Linked DNA regions of Ovis aries. The protein of the gene in region 7 purifies or fractionates together with the protein of the main gene of each other region. This does not show direct contact. Links are inferred from orthologs where the notes say so. Each region holds a gene or a part of one and is shown on either strand. Other genes may lie near its edges.

Region 1 (3,500 bases), on a different chromosome or scaffold from region 7:
TTTGTTGCTTTTGTATTTCAGGTCAGCAAATTAAAACGTCACATTCGCTCTCACACTGGGGAGCGTCCTTTCCAGTGCAGCTTGTGCAGTTATGCCAGCAGGGACACATACAAGCTGAAAAGGCACATGCGAACCCATTCAGGTAGGGCTTCTCCCTTGCTTGCATTAATGAACCACTTTTTAGTGGATCCCATGGCACCCTGTGAACCACCACATACTCTTATTAGTTACCCAAATGGAAACAGGCATGAAAATAGTATATAATTGACAGATGTTCTCTGGCATACCTTCAGAATTCATTGCTCTGAGTATACACTGGAGAATGGAAATTTTTTACTGTTAGAAGTCTGGGTAGATTACCTAACCCAGCCTGTCAGTTTTTCAAAGTACAGTCTTTTTCTAAAAAGGAAAACTTTCAGGTCCTCCTGCCATCATCCCATCTGCTCTCCTCCAAAAGTAAGTACTGCTGTAGAAACTACTCTTATTAACATGAAGGACTCTGTGGCAGAGCTGGGCAGAGCAGAGGTGGTAGCCACAGTTTGGGACTTCTTATTCATCTCTCAAGATAGGCCTGAGCCAGGCAGTGGGCCTGAGCCTCATCCTTCCTGAGTTAAGAACTGTAGGTCCTCTGTGGCTTGGCATATCTGCCACCTGGTATCCTTCCAGTTAAATAGCAGTTACTTAGTCATTTCATCTAATTTGTTCATTCTGTATTTTTTTCTTTGAAGGGGAAAAACCTTATGAATGTTATATTTGTCATGCACGGTTTACCCAAAGTGGTACCATGAAGATGCACATTCTACAGAAGCACACAGAAAATGTGGCCAAATTTCACTGTCCCCACTGTGACACTGTCATAGCCCGGAAAAGTGATCTGGGTAAGTCAGTTAACTAGTGGCAAATTCAATAAATTTTGACAAGTCTATGAAGATAATGATCACAGGTTACTTCCTTTTCTGACTTCATGAGTTTTGTGTGTTGTGAATGGCCTGCTGTTTAATAAACGTCATTGCTTATGCTATTTTCTTCTGTCTCTTCTTTCTCTTACTGAAGCTACACTACAAAATTTTTTCTTGACTATACCTCATCTGTAAATAAATGGCAGCTATAATGAGAGGAAAGTGTATTTTTAATTAGTAGCCTTCACTGGTAATGTTAAAAGTCCCCCAATAGGAAAGTAACATAGTATGGTTCAAACTAAGGTCAGTCCACTTCAGTTTTGGTTTTTTTTTTTTCCCCCAGAATATTTGTACTTTAGGTAATTAGACTGTTGTGTTGATTTGGTGATAGCTATAATTCTGTACATAATTAAGCTACAGTTAATATAAAGGCAGAGTTTGGTGGTAGAAATTTTAGGATAACTCATATGCTTAAAGATAAGGTCACCTGAATTTATCCCTTTGTGTTTCTTACTTAAAATAGTTAAAAATACTGCCCCAGTCTGTTCTCTGTCCAAAATACATTGCTCCCTACAAAATAATAATAATAATGCATTTAGATAAATTGTATCTTGCAGGTTGTCTTTATACTTTTATTTTACTTTTTTACTTATTTGATCTTCACAGCAACCATATGAAGTCATCAAGGCGTATTTATTTGAGCTTTGTTGGTGATAACAGGTGTCTTGACCAAAGTGATACAACACAGCTTATGAGTGGCAAAGCTGGACTTCAGTCTCCTGGAACCCTCTAGAGCTGTTTCTCACACTGGGGCGTGTATAAGTACCCAGGTCATATCAGGAGCATACCAAACCATATCATAAACCTGGCCTGTCTTTCTGCACCATTGGTTTTACTCAAAAGGTTTTGAGTAAAGTTATACAATTGAACTAGTATCTTAAAACATTTTTACATTAATATGACTATATTGAACAAACTGCAGACTGACATAAAACATTTTTAAGATGAAACTGTGAGCTTGAAGTAGAGGACATTGGATTCCACGTAAGATCCAGCAGGTCATGTGTTCATCCTACTCTGGTGTGGAAAGGATTTCAGAAAAATTTAAGAAGTACTGTTCTCAGATAAATGAAAGAGTTTTACTGTTCTTACCATATAGAAACTAAAACCTAAACCAGTAATATCTCATGGTACCGTGTGAACTGTTAGGCCACTGTTTGGATTATTTGATTTTTTTAAGTTATTCACTATCCTGATGCAAATGAAAACCTTGAGTGTTTTGTACTTGCATGATAACCTCTTAGACCTTACATAATGAACTCTTTATGAGGTAGTTAAGGAGCTGTCAAATAATAGTTATCTCCCCAAACCATTCCCAAACCAAGTTTGTGTTCCCTCTTTTAAAGCAGGTCTGATTTCACATTAATATGCAATAATTAAGATTCATCACCTTGGGATACAGGAAGGCATGGGCTTTGGAGGCAGACCTACCAGAGTCAAGATTCACCTCCAAATACTTACTGTTCTAATAAGGTGTTTTTTTTTTTTTTAAACTGATAATATAGGGATAATTCCAACCTTACAGAATTATTATTGTAAATATTTAATAAAAACATAAGAAAGTCTTTGACATTAACTGTTAGGTCTCTCTGTCTGAGGAGCAGAAGTTGAGTCTAAGAATTACTTGAAATGATATATTTATGTATAAAAAGTCTTCATATAGTGAACATGTGTAGGGAGTAAAAAAGTGAGCCATCCCTTTCTCTTACCTTATTTCCATTACCCAGAATTGGCCCTCTTTAAGTTTGATACGAGGCTTTCCTTGTGGCTCAGTGGTAAAGAATCCACCTGCCAATGCCTGGAGGAGGAAATGGCAACCCACTCCAGTATTCTTGCCTGGGAAATACCATGGACAGAAGTGCCTGGTGGCTATAGTCCATGGGGTCGAAAAAAGTCACTGTTTAGCAACTAAACAACAACAAAAGTTGGAAGTGATAGCACCTTGATTGAGCAGATGGTTAGCACCATAAATTCTTGATCCTAAACGCAGCTGGGCTCCTCAGTTTTCCAGCTGTTTGTCCTCATCAGTTGTGTTCCCATTCTCCTCAGTGAGTGTGTCCCATTAATTCATTCCACAGATGTTTGAGCACCTGCTATGTAGGAAGTACTAAGACAGTAGGGTAAATCATTAACTTTGTTTAAACCTCTAACCTTCTTTCCCTTTTCTCCTTGTCTCAGTATGTAACGTCTTTCCTTACTTTAGACACACAGAAAATGCAGCAGGTTGAAACTTCAAATTTCCTCTTTCCAGATGTGTAACTTACCTGCATTCATCCTCTTTCCCTATCGGCTTCTAGAGACCTTGTGTCACTCTTCGTGTCTGTGGCCTGTCCCTTTGCCTTGATTCCATTCTTGTGTGTTCCTGGAAACCTTTACATGATCAAGTATTGCTTCTTTACCTTCATTTTCATGTTCTCCTTAATCTTTCCCCTCAACTCTAAATGTCCTTGCCCCAAAGACAGACACACAGCTCAGGCTTCAGCCCTGTTCCACTTACTCCTTGTCTCAGTAAGTGGCTCCATCGTCTGCTCAGTTTTCCAA
Region 2 (3,500 bases), on a different chromosome or scaffold from region 7:
TTAAAGAGTTATTATGGAAAATTTTATGTAAGTAGAATAGGTTAATGGGCTTCCCATGTACTTAAGTGTCATCATTTCATGAACAATCTTGTTTCATCTGAACTCTTCTCATCGCCTTCCCATTAGTTTGAAATATTACGTTGGTGCAAAAGTAATTGCAGTTTTCCTTTGTTGAACTTTGTCATTTGATATTGGAGTACATTCTTAAATAAATGTGGTTATATTATACATCATTTTACTGTGCATTTCTTGCTATATGTTCTTTTCGTTAATGACTTGTTACTTGTTATTTATTATATATTGATTTTGGACTGTGGAGATGATGTTAGACAAAAAGCAAATTTGAGCAGTTTTCTTATTCAGGTTCAAATGGGTTGTAAAGCAGTGGCGACAACTTGTAACATCAATAACACATTTGGCCCAGGAACTACTAACAAACGTACAGTGCAGCTGTGGTTCAAGAAGTTTTGCAAAGGAGACGAGAGCTGTGACGATGAGCACAGTGGCCGGCCATCAGAAGGTGACAGTGACCAGCTGAGAGTCATCTCTTAAGCTGATTTTCTCACAACTACATAAGAAGTTGCTGAAGGACTCAACAGTGACCGTTCTATGGCCATTTGGCATTAGAAGCAAATTGGAAAGGTGGACAAAGCTCGATAAGTGGGTGCCCATGAGCTGAACAAAAATTTTAAAAATCATCATTTTGAAGTTGTCTTCTCTTGTGCTGTGCAATAAGAACTAACCATTTCTTGATCGGGTTGTGACGTGTGATGAAAAATGGATTTTATATGACAACCAGCGACGATCAGCTCAGTGGCTGGTCTGAGAAGAAGTTTCAAAGCACTTCTCAAAGCCAGACTTGCACCAAAAAAATGTTCACTGTTTGGTGGTCTACTGTCCATCTGATTCATTACAGCTTTCTGAATCCTGGCAAAACCATTACATCTGAGAAGTATGCTCAGCAAATCGATAAGCTGCATCAGAAACTGCGATGCTAGCAGCTGGTATTGGTCAGCAGAACGGGCCCAGTTGTCCACAGCAGTGCTCAACCGTTGTCACACAGCCAGCGCTTCAAAAGTTGAACAAATTGAGCTATGAAGTTTTACCTCACCCACCATATTCACCGACTTCTCACTAATTAACTACCACTTCTTCAAGCATCTCAACAACTTTTTTGCAGGGAAACTGCTTCCACAACAAGCAGGAGGCAGAAAATGCTTCCTAAGAGCTTGTTGATTCCTGAAGCACCAATTTTTATGCTATAAGAATAAACAAGCATTTCTTGTTGGCAAAACTGTATTGATTGTACTGGTTCCTATTTTGATTAATAAAGATGTGTTTGAGCCTAATTACAGTGATTTAAAATTCATGGTCTAAAACCTCAGTTACTTTTGTACCAACCTAATAAATTCCAGGCATTAATAATATAATTAATTTATATAGTACTTTAGTATGTATTTCTAAAAGAATTTTTTGCTGCCCATCATACCATTATCATACCTTTCTTTAATAACCTTAAATATTCAATCTGTTAAAATTCTCCTGACTATATTAAAAATGTTCATTTATATATATATATATATATATATATATTTTTTTTTTTTTTAATCAGGATCCAAACAGAGCCCACACAGTGAATTTGGTTCATAGGTCTATTAAATCTTATTATATTGTTTTTCTGTTTTCCTTGTGATTTATTTGTTTAAAAAGTTGGATAGTTTGTCCTATATCATTTCCCACATTCTGGATTTTGTTAATTTCTATAGCTTTTTTTTTTTTTGAGAGAACATTTAATGTCTATTCTAAGTAATTTTCATATATGCAGTATGGTGTTATTAACTATAGGCATTATGCTGTAATTAGATTCTCCAGAATTTATTCATTTCATAACTGAAAGTTTGTACTTTTGACTGACATCTCTCTATTTCCCTCTTCCCTCAGCCCCTGGTAACCACTATTCTACTCTGTGTTACTATGAGTTTGACTTTTGTTTTTTTTAGTTTCCACATACAAGTGAGATCATACAGTATTTGTCTTTTTCTTTCTGTCTGGCTTATTTTTACTTTCATTTTAAAAATTGTGCAGGGTTGGGTACCAGTACAGCTAAGGAAGCCAAGGAATACTTTGCTGACATGGAAAGGCACCGTATCTTATTTAGATATGCTGGTCCTGAAGATGATGCTGCCATTACCTTGGTAACAAAGTTAATTAAGAAATCTCTCTAGACAGAGGGGTGGGGAATGCATTGAGAGAGAGTCGCATTGACTTGCATGTACTACCACGCGTAAGGTAGTTCACTGCTATAGAGCACAGGGAGCCTAGTTCGATGCTCTGTGATGGGGGAGGGAGGGAGGGAGGCTTCAGAGGGAGGGCATACCTGTATACTTATGGCGGACTCATGTTGTACAGCAGAAACCGACAAAGCATTGTAAAGCAACTAAACTCCAATTAAAAATTAAAAAAATCTCTCCCAGTATCCTTTTCCTCTGTCTGCCATCCTCCCCCTCCCAGTCTTGGCTTGCTGTGGTATGTCTCTTTTTAATTCTAAGCCCAGCCTAGTTAATCTTAGTGTCATTCCCCATCACCTCAGATTATGCTCTGCTTTCATAGTTCTTTAATTCAGAGACCTCTATTCAAATGTATTTTTGATAGAAGTGTATTGGAAAAGACTGTATAATTTCCCAGAAATTAATAATTAATTATTTGCTTTTATAAATTTTAATTCTATAGTGAAATTAATTTTTTTTAATGTATTAAATTATCTGGAATTTTTCAGGCATTCAGTAAGAAGAAGATCGATGACAGAAAAGAATGGTTAACGAACTTTATGGAAGATCGGAGACAGCGTAGGTTACATGGCTTACCAGAGGTTAGTCATAAAGAGCTGTGATCTGGGGGAAGAAAGAGAAAGGCTAAAAATCCATGTAGTAATAATGACATAATTGCTGTGTGACTTTTCCCTTAGCAATTCTTATATGGTACAGCAACCAAGCATTTGACTTATAATGATTTCATCAACAAGGAATTGATTCTTTTCTCAAACTCAGACAATGAAAGATCTATACCATCTCTTGTTGATGGTAAGTAGCTTTTGTTTAAGAAGCTTTTTCATTTTTGAATGTTATTGAGCGTATTTTAATTTCATGTATTTTAACCCATCCTTATAATAATTTTTAAAATTCTAAAGTTGCTTTTGAGATGTTTTAGAAGTTTTGAAATATTTTATAGTCTTTAATTTGAATCTTAAGGCCTTTTTGAGTTTCTAAATAAATTATTAATAGCTTGCAAATTTTTGAAGTTTTAGCTCCAACTTATTGGAGACTTTTTAAAATAAAAAGTAAAATGTGATTTTGGTAAGTTCCAGAGTATTTATCAGACCAAATTTTAAAAGTACCTTTACTCCTCAGTACCCGGAACCTCCCATCCAACTACTAACCAGGCCCAACCCTACTTAGTTTTCAAGATCAGACAAGATAAATCTCATTCAGGGTGGTATGGCC
Region 3 (2,880 bases), on a different chromosome or scaffold from region 7:
GTGTTTAAGAGTGTTTAGTTTTTTTCTATTGTGATAAAATATCCGTAAAATTTACCATTGTGAGTGAGTGAGTGAAAGTCGCTTAGTCGTATCCGACTCTTTTGCGACCCCAGGGACTATACCAGTGAACCAGTAAAGTTGCTCAGTCGTGTCTGACTCTTTGCAATCCCATGGACTATAGCCTACCAGTCTCCTCCGTCCATGGAATTTTCCAGGCAAAAGTACTGGAGAGGGTTGCCATTTCCTTCTCCGCTGGATCTTCCCGACCCAGGGACTGAACCCAGGGAAGCCGCATGGACTATACAGCCCGTGGCATTCTCCAGGCCAGAATATGGAGTGGGCAGCCTTTCCCTTCTCCAGAGAATCTTCCCAACCCAGGGACTGAACCCAGGTCTCCTCCATTGCAGGTGGCTTTACCAGCTGAGCCACCAGGGAAGCCCACATGTATAAGTTCACCGGCATTAAAATACCTTCATATTGCTGTGCAGCTGCCACCATCATCCAGCTGTAGAACTTTTTCATCCTCCTCAGCTGAAACCCTGTACCCATCAAACACTAACTGTCTGTTGCCCCTGGCAGCCATCATTCCACTTTCTGTCTGTATGAAATTGAGTACTCTAGGTAGAGTATTTTAATTTTTAATAAAATTCTACCTAAACAGTTTTATGCGATGAAATGTCACCTATATATTAGTCATTCCTAAGAAATTTCAAGCCACTGGGAGGTAATCATTTTCTCAGAGATTTTCCTCCAAGTCTTTTTAAAAACCGTATAGATAATTTAAGGTGGTCTGGTAGTTTCCATGCTGACAGTTTTACGTTTTGTTTCTGCAGAACGAGCAAGCATTTGAGGAAGTTTTCCAGAATGCCAACTTTCGATCTTTTACGTTCAGGATCAGGGTCAAACTGGAGACCTACAATGTAAGTAGCGTCACCCGTGGTGCGTGAGGGTAGCAGCATAGAACTCTCGTCTGTCACCCACAACCCCACTACAGTGTTAGCTGTCAGTTCCTCGCTTACTGTGTTCCAGACCCAACTCGTAACACCCTGCATGTATTACTCACTGAGTCACCAACATTAGGGTGCTGTTACCATCTCTGTTTTCAGATGAGCAAACAGACCAAGAGAGAGGTTAGGGGTCATGTCCAGTAATAACAGCCAAGGAAAACATGCTGTGTGGCCTTTTCAGTTAAAACCTGGGGGATTTTGGTTTGTGTCCTGACAGACACAAACCCCATCTTCCCCATGGTTTGGGTTCTAAAGTCAGTATATGAGAGAAAGACCACATGTGGTTAACATTACCTTGGAAATTCCTTTAATTGCTCATAACGTCATACAATTATAAAATCATGAAAAAACAGCCTTTATTGAGTGCTGACTATCTGCCAGATACTGTTCCCCACCCTTTGCATACTTCGTCTCCATTCATCCTAGCAGTAACCCTGTGTGAAGGAACTGTTGTTGCCTGCATTTTGCTAGTGAAAAGCTGTAGTTACGGAGAGTTGAGTAACTTGCCTAAATTCATACGCTAGCAAGTGGCACAGCTGATAATTGCATGTAGGCAGTCCAGCCTCAGAGCTCTACACATGCTTAGAGATCTGACTGGGTTTTGTAGGTACAGAGCTGGAGTGTGCAGGCCCTGAGCTGGCCTCACCCCAGTCTGCCTCTGAAGGCACTGTCCAACCTGGTGAACAGGCGACAGGAGAATTCAGAAAACCTTGCTTGTTTCAGGATTTGCTTGCTCTGCTTTCTTGTCAGGCCTGAACCCTAATACCTGCTAACAGCTGTGCCTGGTTTTGTGAGCATTAAATGAGCCTTTCGATGTCAGCAGTGTGGTGTCAGGGTGGGGTGGGGGTGGTCGAGGGGGAGGGGTGGAAGGGTCACTGGTCCCTGTGTGGCGTGGGCAGGGGTGGTGAAGGGCAGCAAGGTCGCCTCTCACGGAGCTGAGGCAGGCCGAAGCAGGCTTCGCCCTCTGCTGCGAGCACGGCTGCTCTCCTACCGCCCGCTCACAGAGCCCGTGGCGTAGCTTTAGCAAGCCACTGTCTTCTGGGCTCCCGTTTCTGGCTCTGTTGGAGTCCAGGTTTCCGAGTGTCTGGGACCATGAGGAACCGGTGCAGGGCCTTTGCCCCGGTGCTCATCAGCACGGCTCCTTTCCTGGGCTCTCGGGACTCTGAACCACCAGCATGTCTTCGTGCTCTCTCCTGTTGGGGTCACTGAAACCAGGAGCATGGCCACAGGTGTTTCTTCCATCACAAATCGTTCTTCTCTTTTCAAAGGATGAGTCTCGGATTAAGGCCACGGTGGTGGATGTGAAGCCTGTGGACTACAAAGAATACGGCAGAAGGCTGGTCATGAACATCAGGAGGAACGCGGCGATGTGAGAGGATCCTGCCAAGGGGGCAGGAGCGTGTGGATAGAGGGCTGATTGAATCCCCCCCCCCCCCCCACCCCCAGCCTCCACGCGCACCACCATCCCCGCCCCGACTGACAGCGGTGCAGAGCACCCCTCTACCACAGACTAAGCCATCGCCTCTCGTCACACCTGGGAACCCACTGACAGCAAAGGGAAATACGCTCGCAGGGCTCTGGTGTAAACCGTGTCAGACCTCGGGGTCAGCTGCACAGACTGTAGTGCCACTCACCCCCTGTCCTTAGGCTTTTGTCAGTTTTACTAAGATCTCGTTATTTTCAACCAGAAATTATGTCACAGGAAATTGACCCTCAATCTGTAGACAGTGAACTAAATTATGTAGGCAGGGTTCCCGCTTCTCCAGTGGCGACACCTTCTCAGCTCGGGCCCCTTCCCAGGGGAGTGCTGAGAAGTGGTTTTGTGGAGGAACTTGAGTGTTTTAGGAAGCCTGTCTTCCTTGATTTCAAAGGC
Region 4 (3,987 bases), on a different chromosome or scaffold from region 7:
AGACTTATATATGAACTGGTTAGTTAGGTGAAAGTGGGCAGCCTAATTAGCTGAGGAGCAGGAAGTGGAGGAAGGAATCAAAGAGAAGATTCCAGTCAAAAGGAACAGGACAGTGTACACGCATGAAGAAGCAGTTCAGGGTTGCTGCAACCTAAAGTATGAGGTCAATAAGAGGCTGGAGATGCAGGCAGGTCCAGATGAAGCAAAGCCCTGGGTGATGGGCTGAGAAGCTCAAACTTTAGAAGCTCTAATGGATTTTGCAATTTAGTAAACAATAAATATTTGCTTAATGAAAGAAAAGATAGGGTGAATGAAATGACAGATCTTTAAATATTATTAAGCAGGACTTTGACTCAGATTTGTTTTCAAGGATCACTTGGGGCAGGATGGTAGGTAGTTAAAGAATAGTTATGCAGGGAATTGATCTAGAGACAGGGAAACCAGTTAGAAGGCCATCATATTTCAGGTGAAAGAAGGTTCAAAGTAGGACATTAATACAGACAAAAAAAGAACACAGATTTAAGAACTACTTAGAGGGTAAAATCAACAAGACAGTGATGGATGTGCTAAGATTAAGTACAGAGAAGACAATATTTGAACAGTCTGTGGGACTAGCAAGCAGAGGTATCCAGCAGGGTAGCCAGAGGTAAGAATGAAACTCAGCAGAGGTCTAAGCTGACACTTTAATTTGGGAGCATACAGGAAGGAGTTAAAGCCATGCTAGTTGACGTGCTCATTCAAGAATTGTGTACAGCATAAAAAGAATAGTGGGCCAAAGTCACAAGCCTTGGAAACACCCAACATTTTAGACAAGGAGGGAGGACTATCCACAGGAGAAATTACTGGTGAGGGAAACACTCGGGGGGAAAAAAAGCTAAAATGTAAGCTCTTCAAGGGAAGGAGGCACTTTGACATGTTCATCTGTATATCACAATAAATGTTTGTTGAATAAATCAGCTTAGTGTACTGTCGTGAAAAGCAAAGGAGTAAAGAGTAAAAAGTATCACCACGTTTGCAGCAAAAGGATCCAGTAATGATCGGAAGTGTCAGTCGCTCAGTCATGTTCGACTCTTTGTGACCCTATTGTGACCCACCAGCCTCCCCTGTCCATGGAATTCTCCAAGCAAGAATACTGAAATGGGTTGCCATTCCCTTCTCCAAGGGATCTTCCCAACCCAGTGATCGAACCCTGGTTTCCTGCACTGCAGGCACATTCTTTAGTGTCTGAGCCACTAGGGAAGCGTAATGATTAAAGAACGTATATTTGGTTTGATAATAAGTCACTAGTGACTACTGTATAAAATTTTAGGGGAATAACAGATCTGAAAGCTAGATCGCAGAAAGGAATGAGAGGTGAGGAATTGGATACAGAATTCACAATACTCTTCAAAAAGTCTGGATAAGGAGAAGAGAGTTACTGTATGTGAGCTAAAGAAAGATGGATCACCAGGAACTTTTTCTTTCTGGCTTGGGGGATAAGGAGCAGGGATCTGAATAACCTGACCTTGTTTATACATGACTGGGACACAGACAAGGGAAGAAAAGACAAATGAAAGCCCCGGTTTCATAGGTGAAAACATAAAAGAAAGGTCAGAAGCAAAGATAAAGAAATTTGTTTTGATCAAGAGACAGATCATCCTCTGATATTGAAGGAAAGGTATAGATAGGTGGTATCAACTTTGACGAGTGTATGAAAAGAAAGCAAGGGTAGAAATTTGAGGGAAAGCACATCGGATGAACTCAATTTTCTCCCTAAAATAGCAGATAACAACAAAGTAAGGTGTCTGGGCAGTTGAGAATCAGCTAAAGACAATCAATATAAATTAGTGGACAACATCCAGACCTCTGAAATCCAACTGCTCACGTTCAAATCTTCCCTCCACCACTACTCACTGCATAATTTGAGGCCAGTTATTTAAACTAAGACTTCTTCAGCTGGAAAACAATATTAATTATGGCTCTACACCACACTGTTGTCACAAGGGCTAAATTAAGATGTAAAAAGTTCGGCACCTGGCAAAAAAACAGCATTCAACATCATTACCACTCTCGTTAATAGTGAAGAATAGGCGCTATAAGGAAATGTTAAAAGATCATCCGACAACACTGCTTGCAGCGAAGGTGACAGGGCACAAATGTTCTGTCTCCCTGAACAGAGTAGTCCTGTCCTCTGTGTTCTAATGGCTCCCGATATATATCAAATTCTCAAAAGGCTCCAAACCTGGACCACATTAATTCCACATGGAAATTATAGCCTTGATTTGTTGAACCGCTATCATTGGTCTGCATGAGAAAAGGCTTGATTCTTCTGGTCTTCCTACAAGGCCAGCTGTGGATGCTGTGAAGGGCCCTCAAATTCTTCTCAAGGAGCGTTTCTGGAGAAAACAAAGTCGCTCCTGACAGGCTGCGAAGCCTCCTTGGGTCAGACAGTGCCCACTCTCTAATCTTTTTTCTGCTTGTGCTCTGACTAAGCTAGGTTCAGGTGTCAGGCGCATAGGTGAACCAACGCGAAGTGCAGTGGAGACCAACACGAGCGCCGCCAGCCGCTGAAACACGGCAGGAGGGAAATGGGCAGCCCTGGGCCTTAGAGCCCGAGGATGGAGCAACGCCTGCTTGCCTGCCGGGAAAGAGCCGTGAGAGCGTTATTCAGGGAACATTACTCTGGGGTAGAGGTGGACTCGATGCCCACACTCACGGCTCTCAATACGGCAGGAGACGAGGTAGGCCGACAACCGCCTTACCTCCAGATGGCTGAGGCCAACAAGCTCACGTTACTCCTTCACTTCCGGCGCTGAGGGATGACGTTGCAAGACAAACTGGGGCGCAACCTGTGACGTTTCCAGTGCCTGTCGGAAGACTGACTGAGGATCTCGCTAGATGCCCGGATGGGGAAGTGCCCGCCCCATTTGGTTCCGAACTGGGCAAAAGTCCAAGTTTGGTTCCTGGCAGTTAACCAAAAAACGACGAGTTCTCTCAGTTCCCCTCTATCCGAGAGCCGCTCCCCAGTCACCACCTCTTAATCTCTGAATTGGGATACACTTCAGGCAGCTATCCTCTCGGTGGCCGCTTCTAGGCAGCCATGCAGCATCTTGATTTTCGCTTTCCCTTCATAGGGAAAAGCTCCGGAGAAAGCAATGGCACCCCACGCCAGTACTCTTGCCTGGAAAATCCGTGGACGGAGGAGCCTGGTAGGCTGCAGTCCATGGGGTTGCTGAGAGTCAGAGGTAACTGAGCGACTTCACTTTCACTTTTCACTTTCATGCGTTGGAGAAGGAAATGGCAACCCACTCCAGTATTCTTGCCTGGAGAATCTCAGGGACGGGGGAACCTGGTGGGCTGCCGTCTATGGGGTCGCACAGAGTCGGACACGACTGAAGCGACTCAGCAGCAGCAGCAGCAATAAGGAAAAGCTCACTACTTTTAAAGCCACCGTTTCCGCTGTAGACAGTACCTGCTTGTGGCATTGTTTTCCCGCACGCTTTCGAAGCTACAATCGGCTTTCTCTTTTTCTGAGTGAGAAAGGTCTGAAGGGGCCAGAAGTGGAGAAACCTAAGATTTTTTTAATGCTGTCTTCACTGAATGAACTGGCTGAGGGGCTGTCAGGGAGGAGAATAGCAAGATGTTGGAATGAGATGTTTACTGATTTTTATGACAGTTCCAGGATGTTCCCTAAGAGTCATGAACTGCAAGAATTCAAAGGCATTCTGGCAGATGGAAAAACTGTGTCTCTTTTCTAATATCGTTTCCTTACATAGAGATTTAGGACTTCCCTGGTGACTCAGACAGTAAAGCATCTGTCTACAAGGCGCGAGACGTAGGATGAAGATATCAGCTATTAAAACAGAATAGGAGGATCTTCCAGGAAACAAGGGAGAGCTGCCCTTGTTGGCAGAAAAGATGCAGGTTTATATTAAGGTCACACCAGGAAGTGCGGGAGCACAAGGAGCAGCTCCGCGGCTGCACAGGCCTCATGGCAGTGGAATGTGG
Region 5 (4,130 bases), on a different chromosome or scaffold from region 7:
GGGCCGTGGAAACCTGCGTGAGTGTGGGGGGACAAGGTGCAGCCAGCCTGGGGCTCGGAATGCTGGACATGTGTAGGGGGTGGACGTCAAGAAACTGGCAGATCCAGCCCAAGAGCCGCCCCCCTCCCCCACCTCCGCCACTGGCCCTCGGGACTGGGAAGGATTGCCAGGAACGTGGTGGGTGGGTGGCCGGGCTGCCTGAGCTAGGGGGGAAATGGTGCAGCTCTGGACCGCGGGTGGGGGCGGGGAGGTCGGGCTGAGGCCGGCTGCTGTGACAGGCGTGTGGCCAGATGGCTCGGATGGAACTGACATCAACTCCCTGTGCCGCTCCCACAACGAGCGCGTCGTGGCCGTTGCCGACGACTTCTGCAAAGTGCACCTCTTCCAGTACCCGTGCGCGCACGCCAAGGTGAGGCCTCCCGGGGCCTCCGGGGTGGGGCGGGCGGCCGGAGCTCCTCGGCCGCTGCAGCTCCATCTTCTCTCCTGCCCAGGCGCCGAGCCTCGTGTACGGTGGTCACGGCAGCCACGTGACCAGCGTCCGGTTCACGCACGACGACTCGCACCTCATCTCGCTGGGCGGCAAGGACGCCAGCATCTTCCAGTGGCGAGTGTTGGGCGCTGGGGGCACGGGGCCGGTGCCCACCACGCCCTCTCGAACCCCCTCCCTGTCCCCTGCCTCCTCTCTTGACGTCTGACCCCTGCCGGACTGGACCCACCGGCCCTGCAGTGTGGCCCTGCCCCCACCCACCCAAATTCCCCAGGACCGAGGTGACCCTGTCCTCGACTTCGAGACATTCCCAAAAGTGCATTTCCTTGGAGGGGGCGAACGGCACCCCTGCACACACTGTATAGACCCGCTGGCTGAGCCGGGCAGCCCCAGCCTGGGCCCTGACTCCCGCTGCCTGCTGAGGGGCAATAAACCAAAAGCAAAGTCGCCTCCCGGTCCTTTTGTGGGGCGCGGCTGGGCGCCTCGGGGCTTTATGGGGGCGGGGAGGAAGGCAAAGGGGAATGCGGAAAAGGTGAGGGAGGGTGGACTTTTTATGCAAATAACAGGCGAAGCCTCTTGCAAATAACTGCGAGGCTCAAAGGCCCTTCGAGTTTTTCGCGGCCGCTGGTGGAGCTGCAAGACTCCGGCTAGCAGAGAGTTAAGCCCAACTCCTCTCCCCGCCCTCGGAGGCGGGGCCGAGCCGCAACGGAAATAGCCGAGTGCCGGGCCGCGGTTGGCCGGAGGGAGCCGAACTTCTTCCGGAAGTAGCCGAGCTTTGCGGGCTTGCTCTCCGACCGGAGCCGAGTGCTGGGCCTTGTTCTCCGGATCCGCCGAAGGTGTTCCGGAAGGAGGCGAACCCCGAGGCGGGCCGGCAAGTCTTCGCGGCGGCCCTCAGAGTCCAACGTCTGGTGGGACTCGGCGAGGGCGGAGGTAGTTGCAGCCTGCCTCCGGTCCGGCGGGATCCGAGCTCGTTCCGGAAGAAGCCGAGCGGACCGGCGCCGGTCTCGGCGTCCCGGGCGTGAGGCTATAGAGGCGGCGGCGACAGCGCGGGCCGGGATGAGCCGCGACGGCTGAGGCTGCGGAGGCGCCGGCTGCGCGGGCCCGACTGAGACTTCTGCGAAGCGCCGGCCCCGCGCTCAGGGCTTCGCTTCGAGTCCTGCCCTCGGGAGCCTTCCGGACCCCTTTGTGCGGCCGGAGGCGGCGGCGGCGGCGGCGGGAACGGCCATGGCGGCCAACATGTACCGAGTGGGGGGTGAGTACCGGGTGTTAGGGGCTTCGGGACTCGGGGCGGGAGAGGCTCGGCTCCCAGCGGCGCGGGGACCCGCGTCTGGGGCGGCGTGGTCCAGAGCGCGGACCGGAACCGGAACCGGGAGCATGGGGAGCGAGGGCGCGGGGATCGCGACGCGCCCGGGCTCCGAGACTCCCGGGGAGGCTGCGGGCGGCCCGACGGCACTCTCAGGGCAGCGTCTGGGCCGCCGGGGTCGTGGAGTGGGCTTGCGAAAGTGGTTCCAAAGGGGCTGACAGGGCAGGCAGGGGGCGCGAAGGGCCGGCGCAACTGCTTGGCCACCAACGGGGGAGCGGCCGGGAGGTTTCCTTTTCCCAGGCGTTATTGTGCGCCTCGGTTCACAAAGGTGGGGGCCCTGTACAGGGATGAGCAATTGCTCTCCTGAACGAGACCGGGATGCAACTCCATCGCTGAGTTGTGGGGACTGCTGAGCAGGGGAACCCCCTGCTTCTCTTGTCTCCTCCTTAAGGCTCACTTTTGAGCGGAGGATCTGATTTAATAACTGGGTGATTAGGGGGTGGAACGTCCGTCCATTATTTTCTGCTAGTCTGTACACTTCCACATTTCTGCGTCCTCTCTACCTAGACCCTTATCTCCTTTTGGTCTACTCAGGCCTCCTTTCGCTCCTCCCACTCTGGTGCTGGACTCTCCCATCTACTCCTCTGATCTTCCCGGTTCTTCCCCCACCCCCTCCTACAGATTACGTCTATTTTGAGAACTCCTCCAGCAATCCTTACCTGGTTAGAAGGATTGAAGAGCTCAACAAGGTGAGTAGAGCAGAGGCCCGCCACTCCCCCCCTACCCAGCAACCTCCGTCTTCTTTTTTCAGAGATCTGTAACTTCAGGTGAATGAGAGACAAGCGATAACAGAAACCCTGTCCTAAGTACCCATGCATATTCATTCATTCATTTCTTCCACGCTTTCAGGAAAGGCTATTAAGAGTTTAGTGGGAACTTTACTGTTCTGTTTTTTGGGGGGCTGAGGAAAGGGATTTGGAAGTCTGTCCTTAAATGTGAATCTCTTGATTCATAATTTGAGTTTTTCTTACATCCTTTAGAAACTTGTTCACTGATGTTAGTCTCTTCTTTATGCATTTCCACTTTCAAATGATTAGTTTTCACCACCGTTTTTTCTCTCCTTAGACTGCAAATGGAAACGTGGAGGCAAAGGTTGTGTGCCTTTTCCGGCGAAGGGACATTTCGAGTAGCCTCAACAGCCTGGCTGATAGTAATGCCAGTGAGTGTCTTTGTCCCCACCCCCGGTTTCCCTGTCTCCCCCTGCCCATGATCTGAAGCCTGGGCATGTCCCTGCAGGTGTTCTCTTGTAGCATGCCCAAGGCAGGGGTGTGAGTTTGGGGGTGGGAAGTGCCTGGTCTGCAGAGGGAGGCCTGTTTTTACATGTTGGGTTAGAAGCAAGGTGGAGAGGCCATGATAAGGAAAGCCAGAATTTGGCTTGTGTGTGAGTGTGTATTTTTGAATCTGCCTTTGTGAATGGTGTATGTTAAAGAGATGATAGTATGTAAATCGGGGATGAGGAAGCACTTTAGAGAAGCAGATCTCTAGGGGGACAGTTTCGGTTGTGTTGGGATGATAGGTGGTGACTGCGAAGGTCAGGTGAAGAGAAGAGACTGGACTGAGAAGCCTGCATAATAGGAAGGCAGGTTTTTGGTGTGATCATGAGGTGGTAAGACTACACTGATGGGAGAAAATAGGAAGCCAGGAACATTTTCTTGCGCTTTTTCTCTATTCTCACATAGCCTAGGACTCACCTAGCCCTGGACTCCATTTTACATCTTTCCCTTTTCTTTTCAGCCTATCCTGCTTCTCTTGATGCTTTCATCTTTTTAGATACACAGCTTTCTGTTTTCTTATAGTTTCTTTTTCCTTTCCTGCTTTGGCTTTCTTTCCCCTTTCTCTTGTTCTTCCTTTCTAAATTATTTTCCTTATTTTGGGCTTCTTTGAGCATTGGGCGTGAAGGGGTTAAGGAGGACCTGGGCCGACCAAGTTCTCTGGCTCTCTGGGGTTTCCAACCCTGTCTGGCAGGGGCTGACCTTGGTCTTGTCCAATCGGAAAGGCTGTGGGGGGTGTGGTCCCCCTTGCCTTAGCACAGGGTTTCCGGAGCACACAGGCAAGGGGTGGAGCCTACTGCACACCCCTGCCCCCCCCTTCTCCTTGAGGTTGGGAACAATGCACCAATGAGCCTGGGCCTGTGGCTCTTCTGCCCCCTCCCTGTTTGGTTGGCACCCAACCAAGTTAACCCTTTCCACTAAGGTTTCAGGGCAAGTTGCAGCTCCTTGGGGAATAAGGTGTTGGCACTGGCTTGAGAGGTACTGTCCTTGAGAGCCCCCAAAACAAACT
Region 6 (4,097 bases), on a different chromosome or scaffold from region 7:
CCCCATGAACTGTAACTTACCAGGCTTCCCTGTCCCTCACCACCTCCCAGAATTTACTCAAACTCATGCCCACTGAGTCAATGATGCAGCCTTGTATGGTGCCATGCTGACCTCTGTCATTCCATTTTCACGTTCTGCCCAAGCCAGCACTGGTTGACTAATTCCCTCACTGCTTCTTAAGCCCCTTAATGGCTCTCCATCCTCTACATAACAAAGGGCATGACCTTTTTTTAAAATTTTTTGGCTGCACTCCAGGGCATGCGGGATCATAGTTCTCCACCAGGGACCCAACCTGCGCCCTCTGCTGTGGAAGCCGGGAGTCTTAACGACAGGATCCTTTTCAGAGAGCACAGAATTTTCCCCAGGGTCTGACCTTTGCTTACGTAACAATGCCCAGTTGCTCTACCTTTCCTAGACCGTGAACAAGTTCTCTCACCTCCGAGTCCACTATCCTTTTGTAAAAACAGCCGTTCCAATCTCTCAAAAAGTTGACCTTAAAAGCTAACCTGAGGTTTAAAATAAATACACAACACACCATCAAGGGTTTACTGTACCCATGACTCCTTAATATTGTATCTATCCAGTGCCCCTTTTCAATTCAATAATATTTACCAAATATTTACCATGCGCTAGGCACTTTGCGGGACACAGACAGAGAGAATACAGAAAAATAGAATGAATCTTTGCTTTCCCCAAGCTCATTACAATATAGTCTCTCGACCAGGACCTTTAAGGACCAGATACTCTCTAACACCAAGAGCCAATGGGGTAAATTGGGAGGGGGTGGGGTAAATTCTCAGAAGTTGAGAACAGGATGCGCCTCAGGGCGCCGCCACATCTCGGCACCTCTGCTTTCTCCAGCCGCAGTGGCACCTCGCGAACCAACCCCACGGACCAAGCCGCACTCGGAGCACCCGGGCCACCTCCCACGTGGCAGGCAAGGGGCTGGGACGCGTGGCGCGGCTGCGGGGGGGGCGGGGCCTGGGCCTCTGCGCCTGCGTGCTGCGGCCAGCTCGAGGACCCGGATTTAAAGAGACAGGCACTACAACCGTCGTGGCTGCGCGCGGCCTGTGGGCGCCTGGTCCGAGGCCTGAGGCGGCGCCGGAGCCCGGAAGGCAGGTGAGGGGGCGGCGCGGCGGGGCCGGCCTGCGGGAAAGGGGGGCGGCCGAAGTGCGGGGCTCGGCGCGGCCCGGGAGCCAGCCCCGTGGTCTCCTCCCCCGCCCGCCGGCTCGCAGAGCCCGGGGGCACACCCTCCGTGACGTGGCGGCCCCCCGGGAGCCCGCGGGGGTTGGCTCCCGGGACCCCCGCGGCCCCACGCCGGGGAGGCAGGGCGCCCCCGCGGGGCTCCTCTGGCCGGGTCCGCCCAGCCGCCGCCCGAGTCGGTGCGCTGCGGACGGAGCTTGGGAGCCTTTCTCTTCCCGCCGCGTCCCCTTCAGCCCAGCCCGGGGCTGTGCTCTGGCCGCCCCTCGCCCTCCCCGCGGCCCCGGCGGGTAGCCGGTACCCCCTCCCGAAAGGGGAGGCCCCTCCGGGAGCAGCGGCCGCGGGGCTCTCACTTCCCGGCCCGGCTGCGTTCGGGCCTCAACGGCTTCCCTTCTCGGCTCCCTCAGGAAATGCTAAGTGGCGGCCGCGAGGGGCCTGTGAGCCAGGCGGGGTTCCCCAAACGGTTCCGAGCCTCCTGGTGGCCCAGCGCCTCCCGGACCCTGCGGAGGAGGGGCGCGGCTAGGTGCCTTCCCCACCCCCCCCCCCACCCCCCCGGCTCCTTGGCGTCCTGGGGGCGGCTTTTCATAAATCGCTTTCCAGGAAGGTGGTGGACCCTAATTTTTTTTTTTTTTTTTTTTTTAACTTGAGCGCCTCTTACGGGCCTGCTCTACTTTCACATACTCTGTGGTTCAGCATCTAGGGGTTACAGAGCCCTTTGTGAAGTTTCATGAAAACGTTGACTGTTTCTTCCCCAAAACGTACAAGGCTGAATGCGCACCTTTTGAATACATTTGCAAGGGAGTTCAGAGCCCTACCCCCCACTCCCATTCGCCCATCCACGGACCCAGTGTCATTTCCCCCCTTCCCTTGAGGTAGATATTTTCCCTGTCTTAGGAATAAGGAAGCTGACTCGGGGAAGTTAAGGGAAATTCTCAAAAGATAACATAGTCTCTGAACTGCACGGTCACACTTGCGCTCGCGTCTCTGATTCCCAGTTACCTGCTGTTCTCTGCATCACGTTTCACTTCAGCAAGTAAAGCCTGCTTTTCATTATCATCCGCAAGCAGTTTGACGACAAAGCCTGGTGCAGGCTGAAAATAACTTCCAGTCTGTTGAAAGCTGGAACTGGGAGGATATTTTAGAAAATAAGGATAAAAGAAAGTGGGGGATACTATGTGGATATGGTCCTTGTTACCATGTGGATTGATTGAGCAGTTCCTTTGATTCTTGCTTGTCCAGTTACTTCAGCATTTTCAGATTGAAGTTGCTGAATTATAACCCGGCTAGTTGCACACAGGGAGCCTTTGCTTAAAGGATAATCGCTTCATTGACTATATAAGGGTTTTTATTCTTAGAATGACAACTGTCTGAGTTAGGTACTATTATTATCCACATTTTACAGTTGAGGAAATTGAGGAACTGAGAGATTAAGGAAATTCCCAAGGTCTTATGACCGTAAACTAGGATTTGAAACCAGGGGGTTAGGTTTTAGGCTCCATTTAATTGCCTCTCAAAATAGGGCTTCTGATTTAATCACAGATCTATATAGTGGCTTAATTATTTTCTGAGGATAACAAATATTTTATATTTCACATTAAAGGCTTCCTGAAAATAATGTCTTTTTCTTTTCTTTTTTTTAACTGCACCACTTGGCTTTCAATATCTCAGTTCCTCCTCCAGGGTTTGAACCCTGGCCATAGAAGTGAAAGCACTGAGTCCTAACCACTAGGCTACCAGGGAACTCCCGACGTAATTTTTCTTGATGTTTAAAAAGAAACTTTAGAATCTTATGCTAAAGGGTCACCATCCATTTTAAGGCTTAGGGTTTGCTGGTGGCCTGAGAAAGGGTTTTATGTTACTTGAATTCTCTTGATTGTGATTTACTAGATATACATTAGATAATATCTAAATTTTCAATTATGTAATTGAACATCCTGTTGCAGACTGAATTTTTCTGTACTGGAATTGTTCATCCTGTAGGCAATAAATCTTTCATACCTGGTCTTCCCTGGTGGTCCTGTGGTTAAGACTCCGAGCTTCCACTGCAGGAGGCGGAAGTACGATTTCTGGTCAGGGATCAGACAGCAGCCAAAAAAAAAAAAAATCCTTCATACTTTGGGAGAGGTTTGGTTGGTCAGCATGGATTATTGTGTTAGGATGTCAGCCTTTGAGGAAATTAGAAGCCTAGCTCCTCTGTAACTCACTTTTCTGCCTCTTCCCCTTCCATGCAGCTGTATGACTTTGGCTTTTAAGATCCTCTTCCCACCAACTCTCCGTGCACTCAGGAAAAAAGAACTGTGCCTATTCCGAGAACATCACCGGCCAGACATAAGACACTTTGGCCAGTGGTCAGAGACAGTTCTTCGTGGACACCACCACCTCCAGAGAAGAAAGCCTGTTCCGTCCTTTCGGGAAAGCAACCTAAGACCACGTGCCGCCTGCCTTGTTTTCTTGCCAGGGTCGCATGTGGGACTCTGCAGTGGTCCCTGTGAGATGGCAGAACAACGCTTCTGTGTGGACTACGCCAAGCGTGGCACCGCCGGCTGCAAAAAATGCAAGGAAAAGATTGTCAAGGGCGTATGCCGAATTGGCAAAGTGGTGCCCAATCCCTTTTCAGAGGCGGGGGGCGATATGAAAGAGTGGTACCACATTAAATGTATGTTTGAGAAACTGGAGCGGGCCCGGGCCACCACAAAAAAAATTGAGGACCTCACCGAGCTGGAAGGCTGGGAAGAGCTGGAAGAGAATGAGAAAGAGCAGATAAGTCAGCACATTGCAGGTAGGGTGGAGAATACTGCTTTCTCATCTTACTGGCTCTGAGAGGCAACGAGATGAGAGTAGAACCCAATTTCTTTCTTCCTGTCTTTCTTTAAGTTTATTGTTCAGAAATAACTTCA
Region 7 (3,500 bases):
GCAGGAAACTTAAATGTATATTACTGAGTGAGATAAGCCAATTTGAAAAGGTTACATACTGTGTGATTCTAACGACACAATATTCTAGAAAGGATGAAACTATGGATATAGGAAAAACATCAGTGGTTGCCAGGGGTTGGGAGATGGAGGGATGAACCGGTAGAATGCAGAGGAATTTTATAGAGCAATGGAAATACTCTGAATGACGTTATAATGATGGATATGTCATTATACATTTGCCCAAACCCTTACAGGAAAGATGTACACCACCACGACTGAAGGCTGATATAAACTCTGGACTTTGGGTGAACTGATGTGTCAACGTAACTTCAGCTGCTGGGAGAAGCTGAAGGTGGAAGAGGTCACGCCTCTGTGGAAACTCTCCACTTTCCATACTTTTTGCTTAATTGTGCTGTGAACCTGAAACCACTCTAAAAGAGGGTCTAGTAAGATAACCACCACAGCAAATTTAAAGGCTACATTTCAAGCATCTAGAAGTTAACATATCCTGTACCAACAGGACAACTCTGGGTCATTGGGATGCTGCTGGAGTAACGGGAGAGTGAGCTGAAGGACCTACTCTTTGCTCTCACAGAGCAGGCCCCTGCCCAGGAAGCTCCAGGGTTGGGGCGACCCCCGCACCTCCCCGCTGGGCACACACCTGTCGCTCCTCCAGTCTCGGCCATCTTCTTGATCTTCTGCTGGTCATCCCAGCGGAGCTCAGAGAACCCCTCCACCTCAACATCAGGGTGCCAGATGGAGTGGCCGACCTTCCAGAAGCAGGAGAGGTGGTGCCAGTGTGGGATTTTCCCATCGAACATGGGCGACTAGAAGGGCGGAATCAGAGGTGGAAAAAGAGCTGTGAGCCTCAGGCGCGGGCCTCAGCACCAGACATCCCCAACCCCCTTGCTTATCTGTCAACAGAGGACGGCACCCACCCCTCAGCTGAGGAAGCTGCCTTGCCTGCCCTGGGACAGGCACCAGGCCATCCCGTGGGGTTGACCGGCACTTCAGCTTAGCGTTCAGCCCTGAGCGCGGTTACCAAACTTGCCACTGCGTTTCCGTCGCAAACTCAGCTCAGAGCTTGGCGAGGGCATAGGAGGTGCCCGTCCTGCTTTCTGGCGCCCCCCCCCCCCCAGCGGACCACCGCCAGGGCCCGCGTGGCCCCCAGGGCTCCATGCACCTAGGACAGCGGGGAATGAGTCCCCGATGAGCGCCAGGCTGAGCAGATGTGTCAGAGAAGTGGCCTGCCGGCAGCAGCCAGGCAGATGTGCACGGAATGAAGGACTTCCATGAGGGAGACTGAAAGGGACCGGCAGGGCGGCACCCCACCCCCAGGGGCTGGAGGGACCCTGCTGCCCACCACCCACCATGGGCCACCCCACAGCTGTCTCTGAGGAACCAGCACCCTCATTTCACAGTCTCATGGGGGTGCGGTCAGACATGCAGCAGGTGATTCAGCCCCGGTTCTTTCCACTACGCTGCTCTACGTCGCTCGGCAGGAAGAGGTACTTAAAAATACACAAACGGTTCTTCTGACTGAAGGTGCCAAACATCTGCTTTGATAGGACAGAAATCTAAATGTCAAGCAGATGGCATAAAACAGCGTTAAAAATAAACACCCAGCAGAACGTTTAGGATGGAGTCATGCGGACACAGAAAGTGCTAAGGAAAAGCAGGGACAAGCTCTCCCAACTGGCCCTCTCCTACTAGGTGAGCAGCCTCTCTCTGGGTTTTATAGACAGCATTGAATACAATACAGGGTTAACGGCTGGGGCACAAGGACGCAGGGTTGCGCAGCGTGGGTTTACAGCGGCAATGGCTGTCCCCTGGGCTCCCCAGCTCTAACCAGAGCCAACAGCACTTCCTCATGTCCCATGACAGATGCCCCTTCCCATAGCTCCCCAGAGTTAAGATTCATTTGGGTTATTATTTGATCAAGGCCTGTGCCCTGCGTCGGGTCAGGAGCTGCCAGAGAGGCGCCATGCAATGCCTGTCTTGCCAGCACAGTCACGGCAGGCACTCAGAACATTTGTGGGGTGCCCCAGGTCTGGAGGGAAGAGGAAGAAAGGAAGGATGGAGGAGCTCCTGCTGTGGGAAAGATGCTTACTCCGAGACAGCCCTTCCATCCACAACCAGTCAACAAATGTCATTTCAGAGAACAGACTCGTGTCCTGGCTCTCAAACGTTCACCAAGGCAGCCAACATATCCTTAAACGCCTGGGCGTCTTGTTACAGCATCTGCAGTGGCCTTGACCTGGCTCTGCCTGCCCTGGAGCCCCTCTTTAAGCCTCCTTTAAGTGCAGAGAGGGGGCCCCTGACTCATGGCTCTGCCCACCCCTCACTGGAACCTATGGCCACGATTTCTTCCTGGCTCTCTGAGGCCCCCATACGTGCTCCTTTAACTCTGGCCTGAGTGCTGTGTCCCCAGCCACCGGCACAGTGCCAAACATGAAAAGCCTCCACCAGGGTATACTCATGGCACAAACTCCAGGACTGCTGAGGCCACTGGTCTCCCTCCAGAGGAAAGAACCCTTGATCTGTGCAAAGCTTTATACTTAAGAACTCAGGACAGGATGAGATGGCAAGAAAGTAACCAGGCTAAGGTCACAAGACTATTGCCTCACCAGGCAGTCGCGGGGCTCCAGTAAGGAGCAGAATTCTTGGCTGTAGACTCAGCAAACATAAGTGCCCACCACGTACCAGGGTCCTTACCGAGCCACTCTCAGGCTGCTTCCTGAGAAATGGGCTATAAAAAAGAGGCCACACCAGGGCCAGCCTACCCCAGAGAGTGCAAAGCAACTGTTACCACGAAGAAAGGAAGAAAGGCAGCAGGCCTTTCCTGCAGGCCCTCCCAAGAACACCAAGGTCGGGTGCATTCCCCTCCAAGCTGCCCCAGGGCCTGCCAGCTAAAGTATCAGGTATTTGATACTCCAAGAACAATCCTCCCACACAAATGTAAAAGAAGGTATTTAAATCCAAAGGAGGGGTGGGGGAAGAAAGGCTTCTTTTTTCTGGCCTTCACCAGCTCAGCCTAAAGGACCTACAAAACATTTGTGTAAACTCCACCCTCAATTACCATTAGAGAAAAATCATACTTAATTTTAATAACAAAATTTCCTTCACTAACAAGTAAGCAGGAGAGCCCAGAATGTTACACTTTATTTAGTTTAGAAAGTGATTACTCACTTGGTGGAACTGCCTGGACTAGAGCCAACCAGCCTCTTTACTCCTCACCCACGTCCCAATAGAACAGGGTCCTCTCTGACTGTCCAGTGAAGCCTATGGATGTCCCTTTCTCAGACTAACATTTTAAAATGCACAATAAAATGTGTAAGTTCACAAAGGAAGTCAATGGTATTAAAATAATTATGAAAACATTTAAAAAGTTGACTGGGATACAGTAATCTACAAGTCGCTCAGTCCAACTCTTTGCGACCCCATGGACTGCAGCACGCCAGGCTTCCCTGTCCTTCACCACAAACTTTAAAGCATTAAAT

The links.
Region 1: the proteins of PARP1 (region 7) and CTCF purify together in Homo sapiens (affinity purification with mass spectrometry; 6 studies listed by BioGRID and IntAct, with this or other methods). This does not show direct contact. The link is inferred for Ovis aries from reciprocal best matches to the Homo sapiens genes PARP1 and CTCF.
Region 2: the proteins of PARP1 (region 7) and TOP2B purify together in Homo sapiens (affinity purification with western blotting; 3 studies listed by BioGRID and IntAct, with this or other methods). This does not show direct contact. The link is inferred for Ovis aries from reciprocal best matches to the Homo sapiens genes PARP1 and TOP2B.
Region 3: the proteins of PARP1 (region 7) and RPA1 purify together in Homo sapiens (affinity purification with mass spectrometry; 3 studies listed by BioGRID, with this or other methods). This does not show direct contact. The link is inferred for Ovis aries from reciprocal best matches to the Homo sapiens genes PARP1 and RPA1.
Region 4: the proteins of PARP1 (region 7) and APTX purify together in Homo sapiens (co-immunoprecipitation; 3 studies listed by BioGRID and IntAct, with this or other methods). This does not show direct contact. The link is inferred for Ovis aries from reciprocal best matches to the Homo sapiens genes PARP1 and APTX.
Region 5: the proteins of PARP1 (region 7) and MTA2 purify together in Homo sapiens (affinity purification with mass spectrometry; 3 studies listed by BioGRID and IntAct, with this or other methods). This does not show direct contact. The link is inferred for Ovis aries from reciprocal best matches to the Homo sapiens genes PARP1 and MTA2.
Region 6: the proteins of PARP1 (region 7) and LIG3 purify together in Homo sapiens (affinity purification with mass spectrometry; 3 studies listed by BioGRID and IntAct, with this or other methods). This does not show direct contact. The link is inferred for Ovis aries from reciprocal best matches to the Homo sapiens genes PARP1 and LIG3.

What each region holds. Positions count from the first base shown.
Region 1 is NC_056067.1:34,736,546-34,740,045, forward strand, and holds part of CTCF (transcriptional repressor CTCF), read left to right. Parts: intron 1-21; coding exon 22-142; intron 143-728; coding exon 729-878; intron 879-3,500.
Region 2 is NC_056079.1:39,507,395-39,510,894, forward strand, and holds part of TOP2B (DNA topoisomerase 2-beta), read left to right. Parts: intron 1-2,085; coding exon 2,086-2,195; intron 2,196-2,776; coding exon 2,777-2,869; intron 2,870-2,965; coding exon 2,966-3,080; intron 3,081-3,500. UniProt on the Homo sapiens protein: Key decatenating enzyme that alters DNA topology by binding to two double-stranded DNA molecules, generating a double-stranded break in one of the strands, passing the intact strand through the broken strand, and religating the broken strand.
Region 3 is NC_056064.1:22,831,594-22,834,473, forward strand, and holds the end of RPA1 (replication protein A 70 kDa DNA-binding subunit), read left to right. Parts: intron 1-833; coding exon 834-920; intron 921-2,275; coding exon 2,276-2,380; downstream 2,381-2,880. UniProt on the Homo sapiens protein: As part of the heterotrimeric replication protein A complex (RPA/RP-A), binds and stabilizes single-stranded DNA intermediates that form during DNA replication or upon DNA stress.
Region 4 is NC_056055.1:38,142,323-38,146,309, reverse strand, and holds the start of APTX (aprataxin), read right to left. Parts: upstream 2,801-3,987; 5' UTR 2,290-2,800; coding exon 2,222-2,289; intron 1-2,221. UniProt on the Homo sapiens protein: DNA-binding protein involved in single-strand DNA break repair, double-strand DNA break repair and base excision repair.
Region 5 is NC_056074.1:37,480,782-37,484,911, reverse strand, and holds the start of MTA2 (metastasis-associated protein MTA2), read left to right. Parts: upstream 1-1,330; 5' UTR 1,331-1,711; coding exon 1,712-1,739; intron 1,740-1,843; exon of another isoform or gene 1,844-2,118; intron 2,119-2,471; coding exon 2,472-2,539; intron 2,540-2,915; coding exon 2,916-3,009; intron 3,010-4,130. Other genes in the region: EML3 (echinoderm microtubule-associated protein-like 3), read left to right, coding at 279-409, 492-695. UniProt on the Homo sapiens protein: May function as a transcriptional coregulator. Acts as a component of the histone deacetylase NuRD complex which participates in the remodeling of chromatin.
Region 6 is NC_056064.1:14,812,603-14,816,699, reverse strand, and holds the start of LIG3 (DNA ligase 3), read left to right. Parts: upstream 1-1,297; 5' UTR 1,298-1,610; coding exon 1,611-1,723; intron 1,724-3,431; coding exon 3,432-3,979; intron 3,980-4,097. UniProt on the Homo sapiens protein: Isoform 3 functions as a heterodimer with DNA-repair protein XRCC1 in the nucleus and can correct defective DNA strand-break repair and sister chromatid exchange following treatment with ionizing radiation and alkylating agents.
Region 7 is NC_056065.1:28,693,606-28,697,105, forward strand, and holds part of PARP1 (poly [ADP-ribose] polymerase 1), read right to left. Parts: intron 828-3,500; coding exon 662-827; intron 1-661. UniProt on the Homo sapiens protein: Poly-ADP-ribosyltransferase that mediates poly-ADP-ribosylation of proteins and plays a key role in DNA repair.